Linked DNA regions of Schizosaccharomyces pombe. Changing the gene in region 1 together with any one later gene gives a genetic interaction. Each region holds a gene or a part of one and is shown on either strand. Other genes may lie near its edges.

Region 1 (7,793 bases):
AAAGACAATCAAAACTGAAATTAGGACGAGTCAGAGCACGGAAGACAAAAAATAACGAAAACACCATGTTTTTTGATTCTAAGGAACATTCGACAGATGAAAGCGATGGTAACCTTGGAGAACATGATGTAAAGCGCAAGGTAGATTCTGTACCCGCCGATGAGACTAGCATCAATGGTTTTAAGAAATCTGTTAATCAGGCTGAGTATCCTGATAATGCTCAAATGTTCATGGATGAAAGTGTCGCAGAAGAAAGTCTTGTGGAAATTGATGACAGCGTCGAAGCCTACGACATGATTCAATCCAAAAACTACGAAAGCTTTGTTTGGAAATATGTGCTGCATTTAACCGATGAGATGTCGACAGAGGACGCTCTTTTTGAAACTATACCACTTAGTAATTTGCTGGCTCAAAAGCGAATGAAAGACAAGTTAAAAGGTTCCGACGTGTTTACGACTCTTAAAATAACTTCCAAGAGCTTGCACAACATTGACGAACATTCCGATAGTGATGATGAAGTTCAACCTATATGTTATTATTACAAGGATCCAGTTGTTTCCCATGCCCCGGGTGCAGCTGAAGTCGTATCTGAACTTGAAAGCGGATATGTAGGGTTAATATCCTATGATTTGTCTAATCTTCCAAATAGTACAGAAGATCCTGAAAGGAAACTTGCAAAACCTGTCTCTTCTTGGGAGTTGTCACTCCCTTTAAAATAGATGTCTTCATTTTCGAACTACAGTCTTGAAGCCTTTACAAAAACATAAATTGTTTTTTAGCGCTGCCTCTGTGTTGGATAGCAATCCTTTCTTTTTATCGTCATTTTCTGCCAAGTTTGTTTTTTCCTAGAAAGAAAATTTAATACTTCCTCTTTATAGCAATCAGTTATTGCCATTTATAATGATGAGTCCCAGTGTTCACAATATTCTGAAACTTTTTTTGTTAAAAACTGATTGCTTTCTTCCGTATAATTGTCCCAATATTCGCACCACAACTATAAAAATTTTTTTTAGGAGCCTTTACTTCCTTCTTAAAAGCAATAGTTACTTAATCAATTATAGCGACCCCGCTATTTGAGATACACATTTTATAAATTCTACACTTTTTGGAAACGAGCATTTTCTCTTGTCCCTTTATTTGACGATCCGACCGTTCACGCTACAAACGTCTACAAAATTTTTTTCTCTAGAAAGCATCTCTCCTTCTGTTTACTCCTGTTGCTACCGAAATTTTTTCTTTTTTTTTGTCCTCTGTGTTTTTTGATCAGGAATGTATATATCTTTAACCATTTTTTAGCGGGTTTTTTCTAAAGGTAAAGCTATTTAAGCCAGAAAAACAGTTCATTTTCCTTTTTCCTTCTAATTTCGGCAATTTCCCTTTTCACAAATATCACCATTTTTGAGTGGAAAGAAAAGCCTAGAGAGCGGAAACGCTGCCAAACCCATTAAAATTAATTATCTGTAATATTATAATCGTATTTAATAGCTATTCATAACACCCGTTTCGTCTAAACTCCCGTAATAAACCATGTGACTTTTGGCAATTTTACGCACCATATCGTAGAACACGGCGATAATTTCCATAGTGTTTCGCTAGGCTAGGGCAAGGCAAGCCAAAGACCATAGTGCCATGTGTACGACGCATGCAAATTTTAAGGGATTAGAGTGAACGACTCGCTACTGCCGTTCTCACCGCTCCACTGGGCAATGATGCCAACAACTGCAGTAATAATTATTCCTTAGCCATTTACCAATTGTTTCGAACTTCAATCATAAAATTGGGAATATTTTCATTTACTTGATGGGAAGCTGAGGAATGAAAATAGGTACCCAAAGGAATCGTTGTGAAAATAAAAATCAACAAAGCCAAATTCATGACGCTAGATTGAAGTTCATAACGTTTAGCAGGAAATAAGAAGAGCATATATACGATAAGATGATATTTCGAAAAAGTATTTCCAAATCTCCATCAAGCAAGGGAAGCACAGTATGCTTTCGCTGCGGACAGGCATTTCAACGTAGAGAGACACCTATTTCGTTTGGGGGTCATATGTGGCATAAGGATTGCTTCTGCTGTACGAAGTGCGATAAAGGATTGGAGCACAGTGATCAAATGCTGGTGCAAACCTCTGATGGACGACCGGTGTGTAGCTCTTGCGCCCATACCTGTACAGCGTGTCGTATGAGGATCAAGGACTATGCCCTAATGTCAGGCTACGACTCCTATCACAGAGAGTGTTTTCGTTGCCATGATTGCCGAAAGCAAATAATTGACTCTAACTTTAAAAGAGATAATAGGACTATATTTTGTAATGATTGTAAACAAGTCCGTCACCCTTCCAGGTCTTCAGACGAGAGCGCTGATTATCACAATTTTGAGGTTGATGTCACGATTAAGCCCACAGAGACAAAGTCTTCAGTGGAATCTAATAAGTCTTTAAGCATTGAAATTATGTCTCCTCAAAAGCCACCATTATCACCTTTTGGTGGAAGCAGAGACCGCTTAGTTAGCGAAACACCGACTAACATGAGTCAGGCAGAAGGGGGTAATGTGCCGAACGATGGACAGGATAGTAATCTTGCGTCTAATTCTGCAGATTCGCTGCTGCCTAGTGCCAAAAATCGAAGTTTTTCCTCGTTTACGAGTTTTGAATCGCCGATGAAGTATGACGATTCTTTCTTTCCTATTTCACCTTCTATATCTCCGTTACAAAAAGTTAACAAGCAGCAACAAATTGAGTCTCCTACAGCCACATTTCCGTTAAGCAAAAATACTTGGAAGAATCGATTCCATACGTTTCACAAACAATCTTTTACTCCTGTTAACGATAGCTCTTCCTCGGACAGCTTAAAACCCACAATTAATGAGGAAGCCCTGGACGACTTTGCTGGCTCTGCTTCTCCTTATAAAACCATGTCATTGACTGACCGAGCAGAGCCAATTGTCATGAATGGACATATGCGTTCTCTTCACAATGCCACCTCTCCCTTTCGGCCTTTTTCTCCCTCTTACAGGTCGAGTGATACGCATTCACCGAGAACCCGCTCACCGAATGTCCAAACCCATAAAAAAACCTCTTCTCAGCCATCTGACCTTTCATCTTTTGCGCAGCTACTTTCACCGCCTCAGGTTCTTTCTCCCAAACCAAATGGCGGGGGCCATAAAAGTTTTCGGCATTCGCATTCTCTTTCTGAGACTTCTCAGCAAACACTCGTTCCTTCGCTGGGATCTAATGGAGAGTACCATTTACCGACAAACGATCATTCTTCAACTCCAGCACAATCAGAGCGAGATTCGGATGTTGAAGAATTGCGTGAACAGTTGGAAAATCTTACTGCTCTTACCAAAAAATTGTCCGAAAGGCTCTCAAGTTCTACGTTTGACAACTCTAAGTTTATTCGTACGGAAGATAAGGATACTGTTCGTTCGGCTAAACTTGAAATTTGTGAAAAGTTTTTTTCGTTTGCTGATGTGACAGATGATCCCACGCTGAAAGATCCGAAACATCAGGATTTGGTGGCTGCCGCCAATGCTTACATGGCAATGCTTCGTGAGAGTTACGGCACTGAAATAAACAATCTTTTGGAAAGGAGAAATGAGCTGCTTGACGATTACAATAATGTACAAAAAATTTTAAATGAATCGCTTGAAGCATCTGTACACCTAAATACCAAAAATCTCGAGTTGGCCGACTTAAACAACAATTTGGTAAAACAAATTCAGCATAGAGTACCTCCTGAAAACCAATCCAATTTGGAGCATACTATTACCACATCTTCCAAAAATACAACCAGCAGTATTAATCCACTTACTGCCGTGAGTAGCAACTCTGGGCAGTCATCAGGTCGACCTGGTCCGTTGTCACCAAATTTGAATGTGACTACGAGAATTGACATTAAGGGAAAAAAGGGAAGTATGCATTTGCAACCAAGAGATGTAAACCGTAAAGTCCCGTTCAAATCAATGCATACTAAATCAAAGTCTGCCGATCCTGTAGTAGGAAATGAAGATCGTACTCAATGTGACCATGTGTTTCATGTTAATGCCATATTCAAGCCCTCAAGGTGTTATATATGCTCGGAGAGCGTATGGGGATCTGAACTCCGCTGCTTTCATTGCTCAATTTCATGCCATTCGCGGTGTTTAAAAAGGCTGTTTGCAGAGTCGGAGCATGAGAAAACAATGAGTGAAACTGTAAGTGAAAATAGTAAATGGATGCCGGAAATGCCAACGAGGATGCCTCCTCCTGGGCCTTCACCAACGATGTTTGGACGATCGTTAGAAAATCAATTGAAAATTGAAGGGTCGGTTTTGCCTCAAGTAATTGCTATGTGCGTTTCTTGCGTGGATGCGCATGGATTGGAGGTTGAAGGTATTTATAGGATATCTGGCAGTGCTTCTCAGGTCCGAGTGTTAGTCGACGAATTTGAAAACGGGTCTATCCGAATGGAGCATTTGACTTCTGACTTGTTTGCCTGTACGTCGGTTTTGAAAACATATTTGCATCGCTTACCGGAACCAGTTATACCTGGCACTCAATACGAGGAGTTGTTGGAAGCGGAAAAAATCGAAAAGGAAGAGGAAAAAATTGAACGGGTAGTGGAAGTAATGAAAACGCTTCATCCTGCACATTTGAGCGTATTTCGATTTTTGATTGCACATTTGGGTCGTGTATGCAAGCACGCGGAGAAAAATTTGATGAACTCGAAAAATGTCTCTACAGTATTTGCACCTACTTTAATGCGAGATAAGGTGAATCGGTTTGATTTACAGCATGCTACCAAAAAGAGTACGGCTCTTCAGTTTATGCTTGATAACGTGGATAAGATTCTTCATAATCTGTAGCTTGTTTTATGAATAATGATTAAAATATCGGGGAACTTGTATTTTTCTAGGGAAGAAGGAACTTTACGATAATAATAACCACTTGTGTTCCAAACTTCAATAAGGAATACTTTTCGAAGAAATAATGAGACTTTTTTTACACCTCTTTTTTTTAATGAAAAAAGGAAAACAAAGATATTAGCATAACACTCTTACATTTACGACTGAACTATTCAAACTGGGTAATACAGGATGTACATTATGACAAGCAGGCAAGCACACGCACGCTCATCAGATACAAATAAATACGCACGCAAATGGAGATTGTATAAAGATATTTGCCATTAAGCATTGCGAGATGCAAAATAAGGAAAATATAATGCTAATTTGATAAAAAAAAAAGAAAACAAACTCTTTTTAACGATACTAAACAGAACTCAACTCGATTTGGTTCGAGTATTTCGTTTCTCATAACTTGAACATAAACACAACATAAACAACTCATCAAAGACACATACATACACAAACACTACGGTCGTGCCATCATGTCTCGAAATCTCAAAGAATGGTATGGGGAACATGGTGAGGGATGAATGGCAGTGAACGTGAAAGGGGATGGATGGCATAATTAAATGTAATCTGCAACATTGTCAGTCAGGGTATGACTAATCAAAAAATAAAAATTACAAGGGAGTAAGAAAAAAAAAACAAAAGCAATCAAATAGTACTACCTAAAAGGCTTATATCCCTATCAAGATAAGGATCGTTTTGCTCTTCCTCATCAAGTTGTTCCTCGTTATTGTTTGCATTTTTCTTTTGTGTTCCATTAGCGCTCTTGGAGCGTGATTTCTTTCCTCCAAAGATGCTGCCAAGACCGCCAAGAGACGAGAAATTAACACGGCCAGTATGTTGACTGGAACGGTTGCGAGTAGACTCGGACCTGGAGTCATCGTCGCCGATATCTTCCTGAGTGGCATGGTAGCTGGAGCTCTCCATGTCATCCTCCTCTTCCTGGACCAAAGGTCCGGCCTCTGGATATTCATTCATGTATTCGTTGAATGAATGAACGCCCATCGAAGGATGGCGTTGTCTACCGGAGAAGGAGTGTTTGTCAACATGATGACCATGGGTTTCTTGAGTTTGATCACTAGAAGTAAAACGATTTGCCATTGCGGTGGATTTGAAGAAATTCGATTAGTCAATTAGTATTGGATGAAATTCAATTTCAAATTGATTTGGATTTGGATTGGATTGGACTGTCAATAACAATTTTCAACTCAATTGGTTATTGTTTGTTTTGTTATTGTTGTTGTTAGATTGTCAGTGGGTGGGTAATTTAGCTTGACTCGCTGATGATCAATAAGGGTGGATATGAATACGATTCGGTATTTGTTATTACGAAGGATGAAATATATATGTACTGTATTTTGGGAATGGAATTTTCACTCTTAGTGCCCAACCTTCTATTTATCTCCTTGCTGTGGCCAAATGTCATACGTATTGGGTTGCTACATTGAATGTAAGTGTGCCTTACTCGTCCTTTCACCCGCAACTCCATTGTTATCCAGCATCGTCATCCACTGCAATCGTGGCGCCAACCTCTTCACTTCCACCACCCATATAGCATATTTCCGTGAGTGTGTACCTCGGCGAGATCCGTTAAGTGGGTTTACGAAACAGGCCAAGAGGAGGAGGAGGGTTTGGTGATAATGCAATGGAGCACACAAGTAAGCAGGACGAAGTATGATTGATGGATGGATGAAGGAAAAGAAGAGAAAATGGCAGGTTGGTTTAGAAGAGGCTGTTCATCCCGTGGTATCGCAGTCTCAAGTATGGCACGGAAAACAAGCGTCGTTTTAATTGTCCAGGAGAAAAACAAAAAGGAAACAAGACTTTAGAGGGTCAGTCTTTTTTTTATGTCTTTTCTATTTTTGCTTTATGTTGTTGTTTTATATTCTTTCTTTCTTTTTTCTGCCTTCTTGACAATTAATTGATTTCCGCGGCAAGCTTAGTCAGTCTATAATACGGTGTTGTGCATCAGAGATGTTATGGCATTGCGTCATGATCGACACCCTTCCTAATCCCTTTTTTCTCCGCCTTCGCTTCCCCACACTTGGAGTCACAAGGCTGAGTCGATGCTACCTGAAAAGATGGGGTAATGGCATGACGAAAAAGACTGCAGGAAGAGAGGGGTGGGTGAAAGAAAGGGATTCAAACGAGACATCAATAATGGATGGAAGAAATAAAAACATAAAAGAAAAAAGAAAAAAAAAAGAAAGAAAAAGTTAAAGAAGATGAAAATTTTTGTTTGTTTGTCTCAGAACTAAAGTTTTTTTTGCTCAATTTTCTGTTCAATTTCTTTGATTCGCATTTTGTTTTGTTCCACTTTTTCTTTTTTTTTTGTCTTTGTTCCACCATTGGTTTTCTTTATCCATCTCTGTCCATTGTTGGTAATCTTGCTTTATGATTATAGGAGTCCTTTGTTTTCTCTCTCTCTTTTTTTTTTTATTTCTTTGTATGAATTGCCTTTTTTTTGACTAGCGTTCTTTGTCATACATGTCATCTTGAAATAGATGGTTTTGATTGTTTCTTGTTTTCAATAACTTTTTTTTTTTTTTTTCTGCTCTCTTTCTCTTTTCATTTTTTTTTTGGTCAGCGTGAGATACTGGCTTTCATTGAGCTACAATAAATAGTTTTGACTTTTTATTTCTATTTCTATTTCTTCTTTATTTTCCTGCTGTCTTTCTCTTCTCGCATACACAAAAGAGACTCAAACATACACACACACATACTCGGAGAGTTTCTCTCTCTCTCTCTCTCTTTTTTTTAGAGTTTCCTTTTTGCTCACTTGTTTTTCTTTGATCGTCGTTCTTTACGACATCTTTGTATTATAACGAAAATAACCTTTATTTGGACTTTCTTTTTATTCACTGTGGATGAGCTCACTGTGTTGTTCCATGCACAAATTT
Region 2 (2,876 bases), on another chromosome or scaffold:
GTATTTAGTTCGTGGTTTTCAAAAAGAAGAGTGTGTTGATTTTCTGCATCGTTAATACCGCACGTTGCCTTCGACTACAAACGCCAACATAGACAGGTGCAGACAGGTCTCAAACACGTCTTTAGTGGCATATCTAGAGACCCAAGTAGTCACTAAATAGCGAAGTTAAACGATACACTATATCCTTGCAAGAAGAGAAAGAGTACAAGGCATCAAGTGGAGTTTGTTTTGAATGTAATGCGATTTCGTATGTATACCCTGTTTCTTTCATTCGGGCTCTAAAATTGTATTCATACAATTAAAAATTTTTTAATGGGTGAGTTTGCATGATTGTTTGAAAACAGTAGAACAAGCAATTTTGTTCGACGTTGAAGCCATTTTTTAGAAACTAGATAACGATACAAACAATTAAGAACATAGTATTGTAGTAAGTTTACTGTGTAATGCGACTATAAATGATCTCGGTAGTAGCAAAAACAAAAACTACGTTAATGAATGATATTAGTGACAAAACTCACTTACTTCTAAATTAGCTACATCTCATTATAGTAAAATCAACAATTTTTGGTTTTGAGACAAAGGCCGATTATAGATTTGATCGAAAATACAGAGCAACCACAATGATTTGAAGTGCCATTCTCAACAGTTTTAAGAAAACAGAGCAAACTACCTTGTTCTATTAAACTTCATCATTAAAAAAAGTAATAAAAATTTATTGAAAGGATCAGTTAGTAATTCAACGTTAAGTCGAATATAGTAATCATTATAAGAGATTGTAAACCATCAGTGATATCTGTTGAAATGAGTGAAACATCAAATGAAGCTGAAATATTACCAATGGGTAATGAAGGACAAAAAATTCGTTTGTAGCCTTTATTTTCATTCCTTATCAGCAGACTTTGCCGAATTGTAAGACTCCGTTTTTTCCTGAGCGCCATTTTTCCATCGAGTATAAAGGAACTCTGCATCACCATGAGTTTTAACCTCGTTTTTAATTTCCGGTTTTAAGGCTTGACGAACAGTTTGGGAACAAATAGAAGCATATTTGCTATAACTACAAATATTCATTCATTAGTAAAACTATCAGGGTATATTTAATGTTCACATTCAAGAAATGAATCCATACCTAAAGTTTTTCTTCCAAGCAAAAGCCATTTTCTCAATGAATTGCTAAATCGTACAGAGATGGGGGAACGGTAACTTAAAATCCATGACACTCTCTTGAAACCCCGTTCGGTAAGGGTCGGACACATTTATTGAGTTCAATATGTACATTCGTTAATCTAACATTGGTAACGTGCTTTTCTTAGTAAAATATAGCGCAGTTTGATTAAAATGACTTTGGTGATGCTAACGATTCATCGCTATACAGATTGCCTTTTTATTAATCAACACTATTCAGTAAATAAATATTCAAAAGGCCGTATTAATTTGAATTGACAAATGAATATATACCTCTCATCAGTCAAAAGGCTGGTTATTTTCGCTACTAACCATAATTTATTAGAAGGACAAAGCGGTACCAAAGCCTTAATTGTTTACTAGCTGGGCAAGTGAAAGTAATTCAATACATTCGCAAGAAAACTGAACTTAAGCACTGTTACGTTTCTCACTTTGTTTAATCTTAACACTTATCGTAGTTAATTTAAAAATGTCAGTTAAAACAAGCAATGTATACTAGCACTCTCCATTGATTGTATTTAGTCAAATTAGCTTTCTTGATGAGCGTTAACATGAATGGCTTAAGCATAAATTTCGATTCTTTCTTTGTAGAATTTTGCACTATTAAATAACGTATTCGCACATGTTATTTGGTTTTAGGATATTTTAAACAAACAATGGTTCATTGCAAGAGACATCTATCAAAATGTATGGCTAGATGAAACAAAAAATTTCTTGTCAAGGAGATATATAATGCAAAAATCAATAACTCCTGATTCTACTTTTAGACGTTTCATTAAAGGTTCGTTAAAGATTTCGAAATTCGGAAAAAAATTCACAGCAACTTACATTCGCAATTGCTTGGAAGTATTGTATTAATTTATCATATGCTTACCAGCGTATTGTGCGAGTTTTTTAAAGCTAACATTGTGCGTATGACTGGTCTAACTTTTAGTGGAAACTAACATAAAGCTGTTCTTTTTTTTAATACTAATTGCGTTGGATTCCGCACCAACAAGAAATTTTTATTTCAATTGTATTAATCAATGAGTTGTAATCTTAAGAAAAAATTATCGCTACACTATTCGTTGGGTACTACTTTTGACTTCCCTAAATCATCAATTGTCAGGATGAATGAAGATACAAATCAAAATGTATAATATTCAATTATTTTTTGGTTTTCAAATACACTAAATGCATAATTTAATGATATTTATTTATTCTTTATATATAAGGAAATTGTGGACGATTGCCTAATTGTCGCTTGCTACACTTCGTTACAGCAAGTCAGGCTGCGGCTACACCATAACCTCTTAACTGGAACCAGCCACGAGGCCGAATTGAACGCTGCTTTGCATATTAATTCCAATTTATGATATATGAGTGATTCATTCTTTAAGGATATACCAGAGTAAGTTCCTTAAATATAATTGAGCTGAAGTTCTAAACAATGACGATAGGTTTTTAGAAACTCGTGTAAACGAGTCATTAGATGCGCGTTCTAAATCCATCGCACAATTTAAAGAACTCGGGCCTCCTGATCAGGTCAATACTATAAAAGTTAATGCAAAAAATCCATCAAAAGAGGTATGTCACTTTTTAAAGCAGCGAAAGCTGTAGTGTTAATGATGTTGGAGATTAGTGGGGAAAGGATCAAGACAAGTCTCTCTTTACCAAACTTTTCACTCCTATTGAAACGTTAACGTTTTACGTAT
Region 3 (3,583 bases), 2.2 Mb from region 1:
ATGTGCAGTCCTCGGCAGTTGAAAATAAAAACAAGCACACAAATCTGGTAACGTCGAGTTTCAACCTAACTAAACCGATGAAAAGTTTTATAAGGAGAAATGGTCTAAGGGTGCAAGAAAGTGTCACAGACGAAACCGACTTTGTCATCCTTGGTTCACCTCCACTTCGGAGGACACATAAGTTTTTACTGGCGACTTCTCTAGGTATACCACTTGTCTCTTCTCAATACTTGACAGACTGTATAAAATCAGGTAAAGTTTTAGATTTTCGTAGCTACAAATATAAAGACGAGGAAGCAGAAGCCAAGTGGGGATTTCGTTTGGACGATATCCACAGAAGAACGTGTTTCAATGGGAAAAGACTATACATTACAAAGGCAATTCGAGATTCGATGGTAGGGGATTCTATACACGGACTTTACTCAATTTTGGAAACATCTGGAGCTGAGGTAAGTGAAAGATGGAGAATATCTAGTTATGATAGGCTAATGATTTAAATAGATTGTTGGTGATATTAAAAGGGCTCAAGAGAAGGACACAATTATACTTGCTCAACCTGACAACGATCAAGAAGGACGGAATATGAGTGCTACTGGTTTAAATGTGTACAAGATTGAACTAGTAGCTTTATCCATCTTGCGTGATCGAATTGATTTTGATGAATTTTTGATTGACTATGATGCTGACAGTCCCACCAAAGTAATTGGAAAAAGAAATGTCTCAAAGGCATCCCGAACCGGGCAAGGAAGAAAACGATCCTCTCGTTCATCTTGGAACAAACCAAGTGCAAAGGAGCAAAGAACATAAAATTAAAGGTAAAGAGGACATCGTTTACTTTGTCTATTATTTATTTATAGAAGTATATTTGCAAACATATATTCTTGAGTTTCTTCTATGAAGGAGGACCATTAGAAATTATACAAAAATAGAATTTTAATAATGATATTAAATAAACGAGCGTATTTAAGGGCGAAGGATAAAAAACCTACACGGTTATTTAATGAAATATGCGATCTGTTAGTTGATTGTTAAAATCTTGAACCAATAAATTCAAGATACTCAACATAAATGAATCGATTTCAATACGCTTTTTTTTCTATTTTCCAGATAATGTATGAAAAAAAATAGTTTGACCAATTCCCGAAATTTATAATTATTACATCTCAATTAAAAAAACAAATAAAGAAATAAATAAAATGATATGAAATGAAGTACAAAAGGTTAATAAAAATAAATAACAAATTTCTACACGATTAAAAGATATAAAAGGTAAAAATCTTTATGAGTAGAAAAACGCATATACTTATTTGCGGTTTTAAGAGGAAGTAAAAGGAGGTAATTCCGAAACATAAAAATAAAGGGGCCTCATTATAGTGCTTCTTTTTAGTCTTGCAATTTTATTTTATTTTTTGAAAAGGTTTAGTTGTTTGTTTATTGACTACAAAACACAGCAAATCCACTCGTCATATCAGATCAAGCATACCGCATATCTAACAAATGATTCTGCAATGCATTGCACTTCACTGTATAAAATTTATTCATAAAATGCGCAATATGTATATCAGGCACTTATAGGTTTACCCAAATATGCTGTTAAATGGAATACACAGTTTTTTGCGCCATCTTACCATTTATAAAGCGTGAATTTAGAGACCCGCACATGCTTCCGCACACGGCCAAATGAGCGCTAAACCTCGGACGAGAAAGTGACCTGTGTGCTGTTTCTATTTATCGCATCGCTACGATGACATCATAGTGTGGTGAAAGCACCAGCTGTTATAAGCAGACCAACGAACCAACTCACTGTTCAACAATATTAATCAAGTTCTATTTCTTATACAAGCAATTTGGAAAATAAATCAAGTGTTAAATACATTCTTTGCTTGAGTGTATTTTATATTTTTTAGTGTTCTGTCCTTGCAATCGAAAAAAGCGCATTGACAGGTTTCGAAGCGAACAAGGAAATATCGGTTTTACTCTTGAAACAGAAATTTAACTGTATGTGAAAATTTTTTTTGGAGTTTCATTTACTAATAAAGAAGAATAGTGTGGTATTAAAAAAAATACGCAAAATATTGACTACATATTTGTTGAAATAAATTGGCGAAGGATTTATACGTATTTTATATTTATTTTTCCTCTTTTCAACACCATTATAGCGTTGCATACAATTTTCACTGCTGACAACCTTTTAAATTTTTTTTACTCTTTATTTTTTCCAGCCCCTTGTAATTAGGAAATCTAGCTTTCTCCTTCATCATGCCCCAATTTTTCAGGACCCAGCCTTTGACCGATAGGACTACAAGTCATGGTTTTGCTGAAGTTTCTTCCGAAGACCATTGTTATTGTGTTTGGCTCGTACCTGCCATTTCCTCTGATATTGAGTTGAGATATCGAACGTTTGTCGACTGGGCTGTGTGTCACAAAGTCGACTTTGAAGAAATGCAGTTACCTACCGCTCCTCACATTACTTTAGCTCGTGGTATCAAGCTGAAACCAAATCAATCGTTTAAGAGTGTTTTGCAATATATCGCTTCCAAGCGCAAGTCTCCTTTGAACATAAAGTTCGGCAAAGTCGCTATTGGGGATTCCTTCTACAAACGTGTATATATTCAGGTAGAGAAAACTCCCGGCTTGGAAGAATTGCAAAATGCTGCTTATGACTTGGCCGATACTTCTGATCCTTTTAATGTCATCGAACATCCCTATATGCCTGTCATTTATGCAAAGAGTATTTGCTCTGACTACTCTACTTCCGACCCCATTGAGACGATTTCTTCAATCGGTCAAGCCAGTTGGGGAAAGGCCTGTTTTCTTGAACTCATTCAATTAAACAAGGCCAACCATCAAGGATACGTCTGTGATCGTATTGAATTTACCGTCTAATCATTTGCTTTCCAATCTTTTTTTTTTTTTTCTTATTGATACTTTGCAAATATACCTAAACAAAAAGAGATATAGCAGGATGATACCTAGTTATTTCGCTTTAGTATTTTAATGAAGATTTAAAAAGCCTTTTTGTAACTTTATTTATTTTTATCCCTTAATGGTTTTATTAAGGTGAAAACAATCTCGCTTAAATGGATTATTCAAACCCTTAATTTTTTTTGCTTCATGTATTAACAATTTCTACCTTTATAGTATCTTTTTCACTAACTTAAATGCATCTGGTGATCACCTTTCCTGCTTTACTTTTAAACTTTGACTAAGGAAACTATTTACTTGTCTGCAGCTACTAAAAACAATATTTCGCGTTATATAAATTACCCATGTACGTGATTCAATGAAATAACATGCAGCGGTAACTATTCACACGGCGGAACCTTTCTATATCAATAAATAGATCATAATATTAGTTAACTACTACGTTGATATGGCATCTCAAATACTTATCGACCAATCCTTTGTAAACATGACTTATTTATTTATTCATTTATCTACCTTTATGCTTCAACTAACGTTTTCTATCAAACAAAAGCTGAGAATAGATGTAACATTTCCAAATTTTATCTTACATAAGAAGCATCAACAACTATCGTCATCAGGATTTCACAAATCACGGTGTTTTGTAAAATCAATACAT
Region 4 (3,847 bases), 2.6 Mb from region 1:
GGGTTTTACATAATTACAAACGATTTGGTCAAAAAGCTTCCAGAATTAAAAAGCTTTTCTTCTGGTACAGTAAATTTTTTTATACAGCATACCTCTGCTGCTCTTACTATCAATGAGAATTGGGACGCAGATACGCGAGCTGACATGAACGATATATTGGATAAAATTGTCCCTGAATCAGCAGGCTACCGTCATACTGCAGAAGGATTAGACGATATGCCTGCTCATGTTAAATCTAGCTTAATTGGACCTAGTTTAACTGTTCCCATTACTAATGGGAAGTTGAGCTTGGGTACTTGGCAAGACATTCAGTTAGCTGAGTTTCGTCGCCAACCTCATTCTCGTACAATTGTTTGTACTATTATAGGTTTACGAAGCAATTGAAGTACCTTTAAGTTTTTATTAGTATGTGCTTGGGAATGATGTGAATGACTACCGATTGTATGGCTTATTTAAGCATACTATTTCTTTAGTAACGACTCTTTTTTTTTTCTTTTTGGTTTTTTTTATATTAAAAAAAAATACATTAGCTATAAATGTATTGCAAACTCACAAGTGATGCCTAGTGACTAAGTTGTTGTCACGAGTTTTAAAAATTATAAATAAAAAGAAGTTTTCTCTTTCCATCCTACTTCCTATCGGGCCCATTAATTTCATTTCTTCCCATAAAAACATCATCAATCTCTTGTAAAGTTATCTGTTCTTGACAAAATCCATCGCGAAAGGCCAGTTGGTAGGGATACAATATTTTGGGTTCCCCTTTCTTAATAGATGTTCTCATCACCTCTCCTTCTACTTCAATGAGCGTACAGGTCAATAGATCAATCATTGTTTCTGAACCAGGCATTTTAATTAAATATTCCTTGTCCACGGCTCCATAGTTGGTAATGAATGTGATTACAGGACCTTTGTACATGACCATAACGTGATCACCTATCATGATGGCATGTGTTATGGACCTAATGTATATTTCGCCGTCTTCAGAGTTAATTAAGTCACGGCGAATTTTATTGACCTTACTGGTATACTGATATAAAGGACCATCTGTATTATATCCTTGATCCCAAAGAGCAGGACGGTTTACGGGATCGTGACTTCCATTAAACATCTGTTCTTGTCCGTAGAAAACAATAGGAATTCCATCCGACATAAGGTTTAAAGTCATCGCATTTTTTAGTACGGTATAATCGTTATTCAATGCAGCTAATCTTGGTGCGTCCTGAGACTCCAAGAAAAGACCTAACAGAGTACTATCTTTGCAGTGATGGGCAACAAGATTCATTGCGATTGCAGTTTTCCTTAAAGCGCGGTCATTTAGTGGGATCACAGATTCAGCTGCTACACCTTGGACAGGAAAGTTATGCAATCCGTCCATGTACTCCTGCCATTCGCAAAACAGATCCGCCTGCCCTGTCCATTCTTCTCCTTGACAATAGACTCCAGCAGATTCGCAAAATCCTGGCCAAAAAGTACGTCGAACGTGTTTAGTTGCGTCAACACGGAGGCCGTCGATTTTGAACTGCTTCACTTGATCGTGGATAAAATTGTACAATGTTTCAATAATCTGAGGATTTTCTGTATCAATGTCCGGCAATGTCATATCTTCAGTACCAATCCAACATTGTTCGAGCGACAAAGGTTTGTCTTGCTCAATTGGGCACATTGGGTGATAATGACTTGATTGATTGAATGGTCTATAGATGCCGTAGTCAATGTTCCGAGGATCAGATGATCCCATGTGATTGACTACTGTATCGACCATCAAATACATGCCTCGATCGTGTAAAGCGTCTGCTAAATCAATTAAGTCCTGTTCAGTACCAAAATGTGGATTGAGAGTGTATAGGTCTTGCGGCCAATAGCCGTGGTAAGCTTCCCCATATTTTGTCCTTCCTTCAATATTTTTGATAATAGGAGAAATCCAAATAGCAGTGAAACCCATACCTTGTATGTAATCTAATTTATCAATGATTCCCCTCCAGTTGCCTCCACAGTATTCACGATCTTCTGGATTACAGGGTTTTGGATTAGTAGAAGCAAACCTATCTGTCAACAAAGAATAAATTGATTGTTTTCTCCAACCATGTTTGTCTAATGCATTGGCCGGGATTACCACCAAAAGAAATGAAAGCACCTTCAGTGTCCATCCAAAAACTTCGTTGTGCTTCATACTTTATGATAGTTGCTCCAGAGAAGTGTTTGCTTGCGCTTGTCACTTAAGTAGTTTTTTTTTGTTTACTTCATTGTAAACAAACAAAAATACTTTCTTTCCCTTTATAGCTTTAAAACGCTCAAGAAAGTAAACAAACCATTTCATACGTTAATTCAGCGTATCCAGTAATAATGGCCGTAGGAATTCTTATTTGGCTATTACAGATGGTGGATCAATTACGAATATGAAAACTTCAAGAAGTGGATTACTACGAAAGATTATTGTTTATGAAGAATTAGGTTATAACTATATATATTTGAGTCTAATATGAATTGTAGCATTTTGAAATATTGAAAATTTTTGTATACTATCTTGCACTCATTCACTGGTTAAACGTAATAAATAATTTAATTAAACTAGTTTTATTTTAAGATACTTTTGTTATTTATTTTTATTATATGTATATATAATGAATAAAATTAATATATTATTACCTAAGTAAAATTACATACATACTGATTTCCTTACTAAGCTTGACCTTTGCAAAGCTTTTTAGCTGGTACACACCCACATTAATAATGGCCGAAGAAGAAGAAAATCAAGAATTATACATAGCAGAAAATGAAGTAGAAGAAGTTATTAAAGATAATGACAAACTAATGGACCAAGGTGTCACAGAGGACGAAGCTGAGCAAGAACAAAACGATACTATGAATAACATGGTTATGGACATGTCTGTTCAAGGTTTTTTCGAGCATAAAGACTCTGTATTCAGCGTCTCTATCAATCCAGTGCATTCAAATCTGTGCGCGTCTGGTGGAGGAGATGACCTAGGGTATATATGGGACATTACTACCGGTGAACAAATATGTCAATTGACAGGACATAAAGACTCCATAGTAGCTATAGACTGGAGCTTTGATGGAACTTATATTGCTACTGGTGGTATGGATAGTCAAGTCAGATTGTGGAAATCCAGTACAGGTTTTGAGTTCATTACTGCTTTTGAAACTGTGGACGAAATTGTTTGGTTATCTTGGCACCCTAAGGGCTTGTTCTTAGCCGCCGGTTGTAATGACGGAAGTATATGGATGTGGAGTCTTCCCTCTGGTAAGGTGGTTCAGGTTATGTATGGCCATACGGCACCTGTAAATGCTGGAAAATTCATCCCACCCGGTGTTGGCAAGCGTTTAGCAACCGTAGATGATTCTGGTACATTAATTGTTTGGAACCCGGCTACTGGAGCACCAGAATGCAGAATGTCTAGTGATGATCATCGCTTTGATCCTGGTAATGAAGAAACTGCCGCCGGTTGGACCAGCTTCGACTGTAATGCTGAAGGTAACGTTCTTTTCTTAGGAGGTTCGTCAGGAAAAGTAAAAGTTGTCAACATTAATAGTAGTCATATTCTTGCTTCTTTGGAGGCCCAAACTGAAAGTGTAGAAGCTATCGCACTTTGCACGGCCTTACCTATATGTGCGTGTGCTAGTGTCGATGGTACTGTCGCGCTTTACGATTCTGCATCCCTTAAGTTTAGAAAATCCCTTCCCCATGAACAAGCGGTTATTGATTGTAAGTTTTTACCCAACACTCCATATTTGTTGACTGCATGCGCGGATTGTGTTATTCGAAAATGGGATGTTCGGTCTGGCCAATTACTTGGCGAGTATACAGGCCATCAAGAGCCTATCTTGT

Evidence for each region.
Region 2: mutations in rga3 (region 1) and atp15 together harm fitness more than expected from each alone (negative genetic interaction), as found in Schizosaccharomyces pombe (one large-scale study listed by BioGRID).
Region 3: mutations in rga3 (region 1) and SPOM_SPACUNK4.15 together harm fitness more than expected from each alone (negative genetic interaction), as found in Schizosaccharomyces pombe (one large-scale study listed by BioGRID).
Region 4: mutations in rga3 (region 1) and mde5 together harm fitness more than expected from each alone (negative genetic interaction), as found in Schizosaccharomyces pombe (one large-scale study listed by BioGRID).

Annotation. Positions count from the first base shown.
Region 1 is NC_003424.3:5,122,981-5,130,773, reverse strand, and holds rga3 (Rho-type GTPase-activating protein Rga3), read left to right. Parts: upstream 1-1,740; 5' UTR 1,741-1,935; coding exon 1,936-4,845; 3' UTR 4,846-5,541; coding exon of another isoform or gene 5,542-5,994; 3' UTR 5,995-6,160; coding exon of another isoform or gene 6,161-6,382; 3' UTR 6,383-7,446; downstream 7,447-7,793. Other genes in the region: RNA polymerase I upstream activation factor complex subunit Rrn5, read left to right, coding at 1-719; protein mug108, read right to left, coding at 5,542-5,994; SPOM_SPAC29A4.22 (uncharacterized protein), read right to left, coding at 6,161-6,382. UniProt on the Schizosaccharomyces pombe protein: GTPase-activating protein for Rho-type proteins.
Region 2 is NC_003423.3:3,783,308-3,786,183, forward strand, and holds atp15 (F0-ATPase epsilon subunit Atp15), read right to left. Parts: upstream 1,196-2,876; 5' UTR 1,156-1,195; coding exon 1,127-1,155; intron 1,055-1,126; coding exon 880-1,054; 3' UTR 549-879; downstream 1-548. Other genes in the region: bch1 (ChAPs family protein), read left to right, coding at 2,541-2,572, 2,622-2,748. UniProt on the Schizosaccharomyces pombe protein: Mitochondrial membrane ATP synthase (F(1)F(0) ATP synthase or Complex V) produces ATP from ADP in the presence of a proton gradient across the membrane which is generated by electron transport complexes of the respiratory chain.
Region 3 is NC_003424.3:2,880,408-2,883,990, reverse strand, and holds SPOM_SPACUNK4.15 (2',3'-cyclic-nucleotide 3'-phosphodiesterase), read left to right. Parts: upstream 1-1,809; 5' UTR 1,810-1,998; intron 1,999-2,047; 5' UTR 2,048-2,259; coding exon 2,260-2,886; 3' UTR 2,887-3,028; downstream 3,029-3,583. Other genes in the region: BRCT domain protein Mdb1, read left to right, coding at 1-449, 502-807.
Region 4 is NC_003424.3:2,536,784-2,540,630, reverse strand, and holds mde5 (alpha-amylase), read right to left. Parts: upstream 2,190-3,847; 5' UTR 2,171-2,189; coding exon 629-2,170; 3' UTR 550-628; downstream 1-549. Other genes in the region: SPOM_SPAC4A8.02C (uncharacterized protein), read left to right, coding at 1-384; ribosome biogenesis protein Sqt1, read left to right, coding at 2,731-3,847.